Caenorhabditis elegans: one gene and its partners. The protein of the gene in region 3 purifies or fractionates together with the protein of the main gene of each other region. This does not show direct contact. Each region holds a gene or a part of one and is shown on either strand. Other genes may lie near its edges. The genes, in order: car-1, ain-1 and cgh-1.

What was found.
Region 1: the proteins of cgh-1 (region 3) and car-1 purify together in Caenorhabditis elegans (affinity purification with mass spectrometry; 3 studies listed by BioGRID, with this or other methods). This does not show direct contact.
Region 2: the proteins of cgh-1 (region 3) and ain-1 purify together in Caenorhabditis elegans (affinity purification with western blotting, with the first as the bait; one study listed by BioGRID). This does not show direct contact.

The regions. Positions count from the first base shown.
Region 1 is NC_003279.8:12,902,522-12,906,274, forward strand, and holds car-1 (Protein LSM14 homolog car-1), read left to right. Parts: upstream 1-1,948; 5' UTR 1,949-1,954; coding exon 1,955-2,200; intron 2,201-2,250; coding exon 2,251-2,440; intron 2,441-2,492; coding exon 2,493-2,936; intron 2,937-2,983; coding exon 2,984-3,126; 3' UTR 3,127-3,519; downstream 3,520-3,753. Other genes in the region: coa-5 (Cytochrome c oxidase assembly factor 5), read right to left, coding at 638-928. UniProt on the Caenorhabditis elegans protein: Transcriptional regulator. Involved in modulating embryonic expression of ATP-dependent chaperone cdc-48.1. May play a role in mRNA gene silencing, and RNA granule (P-body) assembly.
Region 2 is NC_003284.9:16,611,489-16,615,241, reverse strand, and holds the start of ain-1 (ALG-1 INteracting protein), read right to left. Parts: upstream 1,792-3,753; 5' UTR 1,750-1,791; coding exon 1,569-1,749; intron 1,526-1,568; coding exon 1,373-1,525; intron 1,316-1,372; coding exon 497-1,315; intron 372-496; coding exon 280-371; intron 236-279; coding exon 1-235.
Region 3 is NC_003281.10:7,496,116-7,499,868, reverse strand, and holds the start of cgh-1 (ATP-dependent RNA helicase cgh-1), read left to right. Parts: upstream 1-2,036; 5' UTR 2,037-2,074; coding exon 2,075-2,179; intron 2,180-2,226; coding exon 2,227-2,730; intron 2,731-2,775; coding exon 2,776-3,193; intron 3,194-3,214; exon of another isoform or gene 3,215-3,292; intron 3,293-3,341; coding exon 3,342-3,607; 3' UTR 3,608-3,753. Other genes in the region: sap-140 (U2 snRNP-associated SURP motif-containing protein), read right to left, coding at 1-12, 75-107; C07H6.9 (Serpentine Receptor, class Z), read left to right, coding at 422-460, 504-594, 639-781, 824-1,036. UniProt on the Caenorhabditis elegans protein: Probable RNA helicase required for oocyte and sperm function. Also required to prevent the physiological germline apoptosis mechanism killing essentially all developing oocytes.

The DNA of each region.
Region 1 (3,753 bases), on a different chromosome or scaffold from region 3:
ACAAAAATCGATTCATTTCTTTCTTTCCCCGGATTTCTTTTTTTTTGTTCCAGATTTTATTTATTCTTCCGCTGCTACTGGGTAGGCAACATTTTTATTTCCAACTTTTTTCGACTTTTTTTTGTTCCAATTCCGAGTGTTTCCCTGATTATCGATCGAAATCCCCCAGATATACGATTTATTGCAATTTCTTTAATTTTTTCTGCGTTCCTTCTCTTCTCCCCGTCACTGCTTTCGTATTATTATTACTGTTCCTATACATGATGAAATAAATATACACGTTTGATTGGGTTCTTTGCTTCCTTTTTTGGAAGTTTTTAGAACAACTGGCAAGAAAATGGCGAAGAATGTGCGAAATTTCGGATTCAAGTGGGCGAAAATTCGAAAATTTCGAATTTTTTGACAAAAGTCGAGAGTTCCGGAGTCATATGGCAGCCAATTAGGCGAAAAGTTCAATATTTTGCGGGAAATTCCCAAAAGCCGAATCCACAGGCCCAGCTTAGCGATACGATGATAATTCTCAAGTTTTTAACACATTCTTCCTGGAAAATAGATTTATACACGTATTATATTATAGAGAAAGCTGAAATCCTAAAAAGAAAGTAACAAAAAATATGAAAATTTTCGAATTATTCGCTCAAAGATCGCCCTTCCTTCCTCGGAATCTCGATCTCATGTCCACCAGTGATCGCTTGCAGTCGGTGAAATTTTGGAGAACGGCGAAACATTTGTCGGGTACACTTCCGTCGCCACGTGCATCGATGCATTCCTTCGCAGATCGAGCTTGAACTTGCACACAATGCGAGTTTTTGATGCATTTTTTGAGTGCTTGACGTAGACGATCACACGATACACCGGTCTTCTTTATCTCGTTGAATTCGTCTTCTTCAAATTGTTGGGATTGGGAGTGTGCGGTGATTCCGGCCATTTTTCGCGGGAGTTTGCCTGAAAAATCGAATAAAAATTGATTTTAGAAGATATAACTAGTTTTAAACAATAAAATTTAAGTAAATTTCAGTCTTTTTCACAATTTTATCACAAAAAAACGAGAAAATTCAATAAATTCGCACAAAAATTGATTTTATTTCATTTAAATTTTGAAAAATAATTAGTGTCGATTTACGGAGTTGGCACGGTGCCAAGATTTGCAGAATCGTGGCGAGACCCACAAAAACCTATAGCAAAACATGCGCCTTTAAATGGGATTGGGGTGCAGCGCCATTTTAGGATTTTTGTTGTTTTCTTCGCAAAATTGTTGATTTTTCGTTATTTTTTTTGATTTTCTAGGGAAATTTTCAATGTTTTATTGCTAAAATAATTATTTTTGACGTGATGAACTTAAAGTTACAGCTTAGAATCATTAAATTTTGCGAATTTTGATAGAAACTTCCCATTTTTTGTGATTTTCAAGTTTGAGCTTACCTTTTATTTCTTCTGCCGATTTTTAGCTGTTTGAGAAGTTCAATTAGTGAGTTTTCGGTTCTTAATACTCAAAATTATTTTTACTGCAATGGTACGGCCGTGGCTGCGCAGTACCTCATAAAATAAGTGGGCAGACGGATGCAATCACGCTCCATCGGCGCAGAATCGATAACGATGACGGCTTCGCATTTTACTTTTAAACTTTTGCAGCTTTTCCCACTTCTTATAAGAAATTAGGGCTTTAAACTGTCAGTGTTATCCTTGTATATTATCGTTGATGTTCCTCTAAGACTTATTGACACCTCCGTATCGATTTTAGGCCAATTAGGTTAATTTCTAAGGTTTCTCGACACAATTGAGATCGCTTCGACATTTTTCGTAGTATTCCGCAAGATTTTGTTTTAGGATTGATAGAAGCGCACATTTACACGGTTTCAGTTGTTAATTTATTCTCCTATTCCCGACAATATTGCTCTTCGTCTTTCTTCAAACGTTGTGAAACTTAAATTATATTACATTTTTGCAGGTAATAATGTCGAATCAAACACCGTACATCGGAAGCAAGATTAGTCTGATCTCCAAGCTCGACATCCGTTACGAGGGAATCCTCTACACCGTCGACACCAACGACTCTACCATCGCGTTGGCCAAGGTTCGCTCGTTCGGAACCGAGAAGCGTCCAACTGCTAATCCGGTCGCCGCTCGTGATGATGTCTACGAGTACATCATCTTCAAGGCCAGCGACATCAAGGATTTGATCGTTTGTGATACTCCGAAGGCGAGTTGCCGGATAATCGAGCTTCATTGATCTAAATAATGTCTTTTCAGATGGCCAACATTGGAGGAGGGCTTCCATACGATCCAGCCATCATCTCTGTCTCCTCGAGATCAGCCCCAGCAAGTGACGGAGCTCCAGCTGCCTCTGCAGGTTCTTCCAGAGCCGGAACGCCATCCCGTAACAGTCCGTTAGGCCAAATCATCCAAAATCAACGTCCAGGACGTGGAGGTTATCAGCAAAGTCAGTTTTATTTTCTTTCAAATCAACTCTGGATTTATGATCATGTTTTCAGACTTCCAAGCTAACCGTGGATACAACAACTACCGCGGAGGATTCGCTGGCGGATACAACAACCAAAGAGGGCACAACAATTATGGAGTTCCTCGAGTTAATCACCGCGAAAAGCTGAAGTTCGAATCGGACTTTGACTTCGAGAAGGCCAATGAGAAGTTCCAAGAAGTTCTCGTCGACAACCTTGAGAAGCTCAACATTGAGGATAAGGCCGAGCCAGAAGTTGAGGAGAAGAAGGATGCTGCCTTCTACGACAAGAAGACTTCATTCTTTGACAACATCAGCTGTGAATCACTGGAGAAAGCCGAAGGAAAGACTGGACGGCCAGATTGGAAGAAGGAGAGAGAAACGAATCAGGAGACGTTCGGACACAACGCAGTGCGTTCGTTGAACTACCGTCGTGGATTCGGAGGACGAGGACGTGGTGGAAACCGCGGATATGGAGGTATAGTTCCACTTTAGAAGTTACAACGTCTTATGCTCAATTTTCAGGTTACAACAACGGATACCAGCATCAACACCAGCACCGTGGAGGATACAATGGAGGTTATCGTCAGAACAACGGTGGATACCGTCGTGGTGGATATGCTCCACGTGACAACCAAGGCAATACTGCCGCAGCTGCCGAACAATAAGTTCGAATTCCCTGAAATTGTTTTCTCCCCACATCCCCATACCCCGATATTAGCCGTTTGTTAATTTATTATGTAAGTTTATCCATTCTCCCCCCCCCCCCATCAATGATTACCCTTGTCTCTTCTCAACTATTGGCGTGTTATAAGAAACCCGTTAATTATTTAGAAATCTCGTACGATTCAATGCGGGCCTTCTGTTATTTTGTAATAATTATTGCGCACCCACCCACCGACACACATCTCCCATCCAAAAAATTCCCAATGTTTTTTCTTCCCCCACTACAATAGTGATTGGACCCTTCCCCCGTTTTTTTAAGTTCTAGCTTGTGAATTTTAAAGCATGTCGTTCTGTTGTCCTCAGTTTGTCATTTTAATAAAATTGCAGTGACTAAACTGTCAAATCGTTTGCACCTGCTCTCCTATCATCCCACACCCCGCCTTTTATGATTGTCTTCTAGGAGATATGAAATTGTTTTTAAGATCTTCTCTTAGATTTGCTATAATATTGCAAACCCTTCATTCTTAGGTAGACAAGCCCTGAGAAATTGTGATTTCCCCGTATAAACTTTTTGTTTTGTATCATTGCTTCGATGTTTTCTTTCTACAACTTGGAAGCCAGTTGGACAT
Region 2 (3,753 bases), on a different chromosome or scaffold from region 3:
CCTGCACCCACGATCCAGTGGTGTTGTCACTGGAGAATGTTGAAGTGTGCTGATTCGGAAGATACCATGGATTTTGCTCAGTTGTCAAGTCGTTCCATCTGTTGTTCTCGTCGAATATCGTCGACTCGCTCTTGGACGGATTGTTTGGATCATTTTCTGGAAGCTCTCCCCATCCGGTCACAACAATTGGCCGTTTCGCTGGTACTGGGAATGGGAAACGTTGATTGTCCTCTCCCTGAGACATGAAGTTCAATTTAATACCTAAGACAACAATATTACCTTTTTCTGTGGTACTGGACATCGGTTCAATGCAGTTTCCAAATCCTCATCGGCACCTTCGCCAACAATCCACAAGCTAATGGTACGGTCAGCTGCAAAAATAGTCGATAATAGGTGATTTCTATAGCAACACATTTAGACTAATTTCAGTTTTTCATGAAACAATGGAGAATTTCATTCAATTCCCACCAAGGAAATATTTTTTTAAAAAACTCACTTTGCTTCTCCGGGTCTCCCCAATAGGACACTCCAGTATCTCTCTGCCATTTCTTGAGTTCTCCGTTTGGATCATGCCAAACAGTCAGTGTGAGATCATCAGCAGCTCCGCCGATTGGGAATGGATTGTTGTACTGCTGGTCTCCTCCCATGAACTGCTGCATGCTTCCACCACTTCCATTGTTTCCGGTGCTGTTCCACATATTGGATCCTCCGCCACTCTGGCTTCCACTGTGTCCCATTCCACCACGGTTGTTGTAGTTTCTTTGACCGCCGTGGCCTCCTTGACCTCCACCAGCATTGTTATTCTTCCATGATCCGTGTCCACTATTCGGAGCAACACCCATATTTCTCATTCCACCCATACCACCTCCCATGTGCATATCCATCGGTGGTGGAACTGAAACGTCAACACCGCCACCCATATTGCCAGAGTACCGTCCCTGGTTGTGGTTTGGACGACCGTTTCGGGGCGGCATGCCTGACATTCCACGATTGCTGTCCTGCCCCCATGGACGGTTCATCTGCTTGTTGCCACCCATGTTATTCGGGCCACCCCATCCCCCTTGGTAGTCTTGCTGCTGCTGCATCATTGGCCCACTACGTTGTCCTTGTCCTGGTGGTCCATGTCTCATGCCTGTATTCCAGGCTCCCTGCAGCAATGGCATCGGGTATTGCTGATGCTGTTGAGGCTGTTGCTGTTTCCAAAAGTCATCAGATTCTTTTCCCATTCCTCCGTTACTCCAAACCGGGTGCGCTGGCTGAGACCCTATGGACCAAGGCGCAGATTGACCTCCAAGACTATTCAATTCACCGAACGCTGAAAATTTATAGATTTAAATTTATAAATATAACGTCTAATCAAATTTGAACTTACAGGCATGTGGTTGAAGTGGATACTGCACATCGCTCAATGGTGGATCACCCCATATCTGTTTCTCATAATCTGTATTCTGAATGCCACCCCATTGGCTTTGACTTGATGAGCCTGTGCCACTGAGTCCAACAAGGGCTTCGTTGACATTTGGCTCTGAAACAATTTTTACGTCATCAAGATTACAATTGCCAATTACCGATATCGTTCGATTCCTGTTGCCATGGCGATCTGTTTGGGAACTGTGGCTGCGGTACCGGCGGAGCCCAGACACGTTGCTGCTGGAGACCGTTGTTTCCCCATACAGGCTGTTGGTCGTTAGGATGCCACGCTGCGTCGTCTATTGAAATGTTGTTGAAGTTTTTTGCGAGACTCTCCATGGTTGCGTTGATCGCGCTCTGGCGATCAGAGTTTGAGCTTATCTGTAAAAAATGGAATATTATTGATTGATGAGTTTTGGCGAGAGCGTGATGGTAAATGATAGATGACAAGAGAAAACAAAGAAACTGATAGACTGATTGATAACACTATTTGATTTCGACATGGGTACATTGGTCGAACAACATTAGCCGCGTAACGAGCAGGATTTCATGAAGGCAATTGAAAATTTTACGGACCAGGAGTATCAGCTTAATAGAAATTTTATAAAAAATGATCTAAAGCCATTCAAACAGTATTGAGCAAAATTATGTTTTACAAGATCATTGTCAAAGTTAGAAAGCATAAACTATTAATTAATGCAATACTGCTAGATAGAAACAAGTTCAGTGTAAAAAGCGTTCTCCTGTAAAAAGGTAAACATTAAAAAATTTAATAAGTTTTGTACAACCTACATAACTACTGTTGTAAAGAAAGGCCCCAAAAGCCCCCGGGGCGCTGCTGGCTAGGTGGGAACTAGGCGGACAAGGGGTTAAGGAAAAAGCAGGAAAGAGAGAAAGGAGAAGGAAAAAGCAGAAGAAGGAGAGAGACTAGTTAGAAGAGGGGTCTGGTGCTTCGCAGGCTGGTTGGCTGGGCTGCTGCTGCTGCTGCTGCTGCTGCTGCTGGCTACCCCGATCGAGGGCGAGAAGGCGACCGGCGACGACATTGCGCGTTTCTCTCCCTGTCTGTCTCTCTCCATCTCATAGTGAGAGGCCAACATCAAATTGCTTGCCGGGCGAGAGACGCAGCGGAAACTCCCCGTCTTTCCACTTTTTCCTCGCTTCACTACTACTAACCCCCGTGAGTCTGTCCGCTCACGCTTCACTCATCAGACCACCCTCCCGCACTCTCGCTCTCTCTTTTTCTTTCACGAATCAATGAGACCGCTGTGTGTATGTGTGTGTGTGTGCAGAGAGAAGAAGGAACGTAGGGTCAACTGAGAGGGTTTCATGTCGTGTAGAGACGGAGAAACCGCACCGCCGCACACTCACGCGCTCATGCGCTCACCACCGCACTCATAGACACTCATCGACGTGCGCTCGACCACTCACCACCATTTCTCTTCATCTCTGGTGGTTCTCCCCGTATCTAACAGTATATACGTCTGTGTGGCCAGTTCTACACACACACACACATACACACACTACCAATATATTTTCGATATGTGGGATGGACGGGACACACGAGCGAAGATGGACGGGATGAACAGCGGGACGGGCGACATGCCAAACTTGAAACACTTTTTGGTTGGAAATAGATTCGGAGAGAAATTGATTAGGAACTTGTTAATTGAGGATACTAAGGATATTTAACAGAAATTCACCAATTTTCTGAAAATTTGACATTACAGTGGTTTTTCTCTGTTATGAAAAGTTGGCTATATCGTAACTTTTTGTACTTTGTGAAATATTTAAATTCAAACAGGAGATGATAAATCTAAAAAGGAAAAAGATGAAACATTATGTTGAAATTCTTAAGACAGTGTTCATTAATTTGACACGCCAAAACAGCCGAGGCTATCAATTTTTGGTGACTGAATTTTTTCGACCTTGTGTGCCGCCACCGCTCGGGAACCAGAAACTGTGAGTGCTAGACAGTTGAGGGTTTGTTTTCCTTCGCATCAAGTTCACGTGACCCGGTGAGGTGGAAGAGAATTGGGAATGAGAAATCTATACTGTTTTTCACACGGAGAAGAAAACATGAAGAGAAACTTTTGAATAACGAGAAAAATGTTTTTCTTTTTCAAAATTGAAAATAGAAGACAAAAAACAAACACGCTGAGAGAAAAGAGGCAATTAATAAAAGAAAAAACGACCAGTAGAAAAAGCAGGTGTTATTAGGCTCCGGGAGAGAGAAAGGGTCAAGCGGGAAGTGTTGGTAGTGTGGTCCAGCGCGGAACAAGATCGCGAATGCGTGTAGCAATTGGACAGATGGGTCGTCGAGATAGTACGCGTTGCACAGAGATG
Region 3 (3,753 bases):
ATCGTCAGATGTCTAAACTTTTAAATCGGTATTATTAAAGCTTGTGACACTTAGAAGTTGACAAGGAAACTTACTTTCTTTCTCTTTTTGGACCATTCCATACTCATATTGCGGGGAAATTTCCCGGGAAATAATTTAAAATGTTAGATTTTTCCCAGTAAATGGACCAGGCACTGACAATGCGTCAGCAATTATGATGAAACGCGCCAGCAACCACTTTGGCGTGTTTTCGGATCTCGGCGCGACTTTTAAGTAAGGAAACATTTTATTTTTGAAAAAAGAAAGAACAAAATAATAACGTAATTAATTTCAATTCATGAGTTACACGCAATTTCATATTATTATTAACATTTAACGTTCAAATCATATAATTCATAAATAAAATAACAAACCATTTTTAAATAATTTGCATATAAGAATTATGAGTCTATCTCCTCCGCCGTTATTCAATCTCGATCAAGTTTGTTATCTGTAATGTTTCTGCCTTTATAAATAATTTTAAGGGATCTTGGAGTCCTATTGCTATAAACATGATTTGCCTAGAAGCTTTACAAACTTGGTACCAATCGGTTTATCTTGGATCTGCTTATTTCTGTAAGAAAATAAAAAGTGGAAAAATATAACAACTAAAATTGCAGATATGAAGACAGAGTCGTTCGTGTATCTGTCACTTGTTTACATTCAATTTTCGTTATTTTTTCTAACAAGCATTTTGATAGTTATATATTTTATATCATACAATGGAGTCCAACGTCTCAATGTTATTACGATTACCACAAATGTAACGTTTCTTTTGACTCCTGTTTTCAATTAAGATTTTCAGTTTATAAAAATGGTGGTGGATGTGTCCTGTTTCGGAACAATTTATTTTGTTGGCAGCTCGAAAATATTGCCTATTGTGGATTTGGCGTATTTCAATTGTGTTATCCAACCGTGTCGGTTTCTTATATTCATCGTATACTGCCATCACGGAGCTAGATGTGACGCATATCACAGATTTCTGGTTGAATATGAGGAGTTCGAATTAGAAAAATGAGGAAATCGAAAAACGATAAAGTAATCACATTACTCATTACATTTAGAACTAATTATCCTTTAATAAATTTTCATCGACGCTGGTATATTCTTTTTAATATTTAATTCATTATTATTCTCAAGAAATTTCGCATCAAATCTTCGTAAAGTTTTTCATTGAAATCTAATTTTGAATTACCGCCATTTTGTTTCGCGCGTTGGCTGAGTATTCAACTTTTGTGTGTTGAATGTACGCAGCGAAATGCCTCTCACTCGTCGCTCGCAGCAGCTTGGCCTACTCGTCCCGTCGCTCTCACAGTTTTTCTCTCCACACTCTCGTTTCTTCGCACATTTCCTTCATTTTGGCCGTTGTTCTCCACGTGTTTCTGTGTTTCTTCTCTAGATTTCTAAGAGTTTTAGGCGACGATGGCAGCTCCAATCTGTTATCGACACTTTCTTGATAGATTCAGTCGTTTTCCGAAGATTTTTATCAGTTTCGTAGCTCAGAAACCTGTTTTAAAAAACGATAACAAAAAGTGTTCTTTCAAACTTTCGAATGTAAAATATAAACTTTTTCGCGTTTATTGTTTGGAGAGTCGCTTAAAAACTGGAAGGTATCAATAAAAAATTGTCGTGATTCTCTGACCTTTTGAAATTGTTTCTTGTCAATTGCCACGTCGTCAAACATCGGCTACCCTGTTGGCTAGATACTCCAGCAACCCAAAGAGTGTCTGTGCGTCTCTATGCGCCGCCGACCACTCGCTTGCTTTTTCTAACCGTCATTGATCGTGTGTATACGAGCGCGAGACAGACACCGGTTGTCTCGCATAAATATTATCTCAGTGTTATTTAGCGTTCCTCCTAATTGTTCTGAAAATGCTTGAATGATTTTTCCATGACTAACAAAATTGTAGTAAACTCGATAGGTATCATTTTTTCGCATTAAAAACTTATCTTCCTTCATTAACAACTTCTCAACTTACACCATTAACAACTTCTCAACTTTAATCTCGATTTTACAGATCTCATCAGGAAATCAAACCTACTACGACATCGGAAAATGAGTGGAGCGGAGCAACAACAGATCGTTCCTGCCAACAATGGCGACGAAAACTGGAAGGCTGGTCTCAATCTTCCAGCAAAAGACAGAAGATTCAAAACTGCTGTGAGTTTGCAAAGCCTATATGACTTTGTGACCATTTCATTTTTCAGGATGTCACTGATACGAAGGGAGTCGAGTTTGAGGATTTCTGCCTTGGACGCGATCTTCTCATGGGGATTTTTGAGAAAGGATGGGAAAAACCGAGTCCTATTCAAGAAGCATCCATCGGAGTCGCTCTCACTGGTCAAGATATTCTCGCAAGAGCTAAGAACGGAACAGGAAAAACCGGAGCTTATTGTATCCCTGTTATCGAGAAGATCCAGCCAGCCCTCAAAGCTATTCAAGCCATGGTCATTGTCCCAACTCGTGAATTGGCTCTCCAAACTTCACAGATCTGCGTGGAGCTCTCCAAACACATTCAGCTCAAAGTTATGGTCACTACCGGAGGAACTGATCTCCGTGATGATATCATGCGTCTAAACGGAACGGTTCACTTGGTCATCGCCACCCCAGGAAGAATTCTCGATCTTATGGAGAAAGGAGTCGCCAAAATGGAACATTGTAAAACACTTGTTCTTGACGAGGCTGACAAACTTCTTAGTCAAGACTTCCAGGTAAAAAAATTAACATTTGAATAAGATAACAATTCTCGTTTACAGGGAATTCTCGACCGCCTCATCAACTTCCTCCCAAAGGAGCGTCAAGTTATGCTTTATTCTGCCACTTTCCCTAACACCGTCACTTCGTTCATGCAGAAGCACATGCACAAGCCGTATGAGATCAACCTCATGGAGGAGCTTACTCTTCTTGGTGTCACCCAATACTATGCCTTTGTTCAAGAGAAGCAAAAGGTCCACTGTTTGAATACGTTGTTCCGAAAACTTCAAATCAACCAGTCGATCATCTTCTGTAACTCTACTCAACGTGTTGAGCTTCTCGCTAAGAAAATCACGGAAATCGGTTACTCGTGCTACTACATTCATTCCAAGATGGCTCAGAATCACAGAAACCGTGTCTTCCATGACTTCCGTCAAGGAAACTGCAGAAACTTGGTTTGCTCCGATCTTCTCACCCGTGGTAAGTTTGACTAAATAATTTGCGCGATGAGGATTGATAACACATACACACACTCTGAAGTTATGTGAAGAGATAATTGAAGAACGGATATCTGAGCGCCATTTTTCTTATTTTAAAGTGTAGTTCATGCATAATTGTAATTTTTCAGGTATCGATATCCAGGCTGTCAATGTTGTCATCAACTTTGACTTCCCAAGAAACGCCGAGACTTACCTTCACAGAATCGGTCGCTCTGGACGTTTCGGTCACCTCGGAGTTGCAATCAACCTTATCACCTACGAAGACCGTCACACCCTTCGCCGTATCGAGCAGGAGCTTCGTACTCGCATTGAGCCCATCCCGAAAACGGTTGACCCGAAGCTGTATGTCGCTGACCAGCAGCTCGTCGATGCCGCCGATGAGACCACTGCTTAAACACTAGTTCTCATATCCCCAAACCTCCAAAACACACTGGTCGCCTACGTTTTTTTTTTCCATTCTAGTGATCTCGTCCAGATTGTGTATGTTCTCTATTTTCCTTTAAATGCACAGTTTGTGCTAAATTTAATATTGTTCAAGCA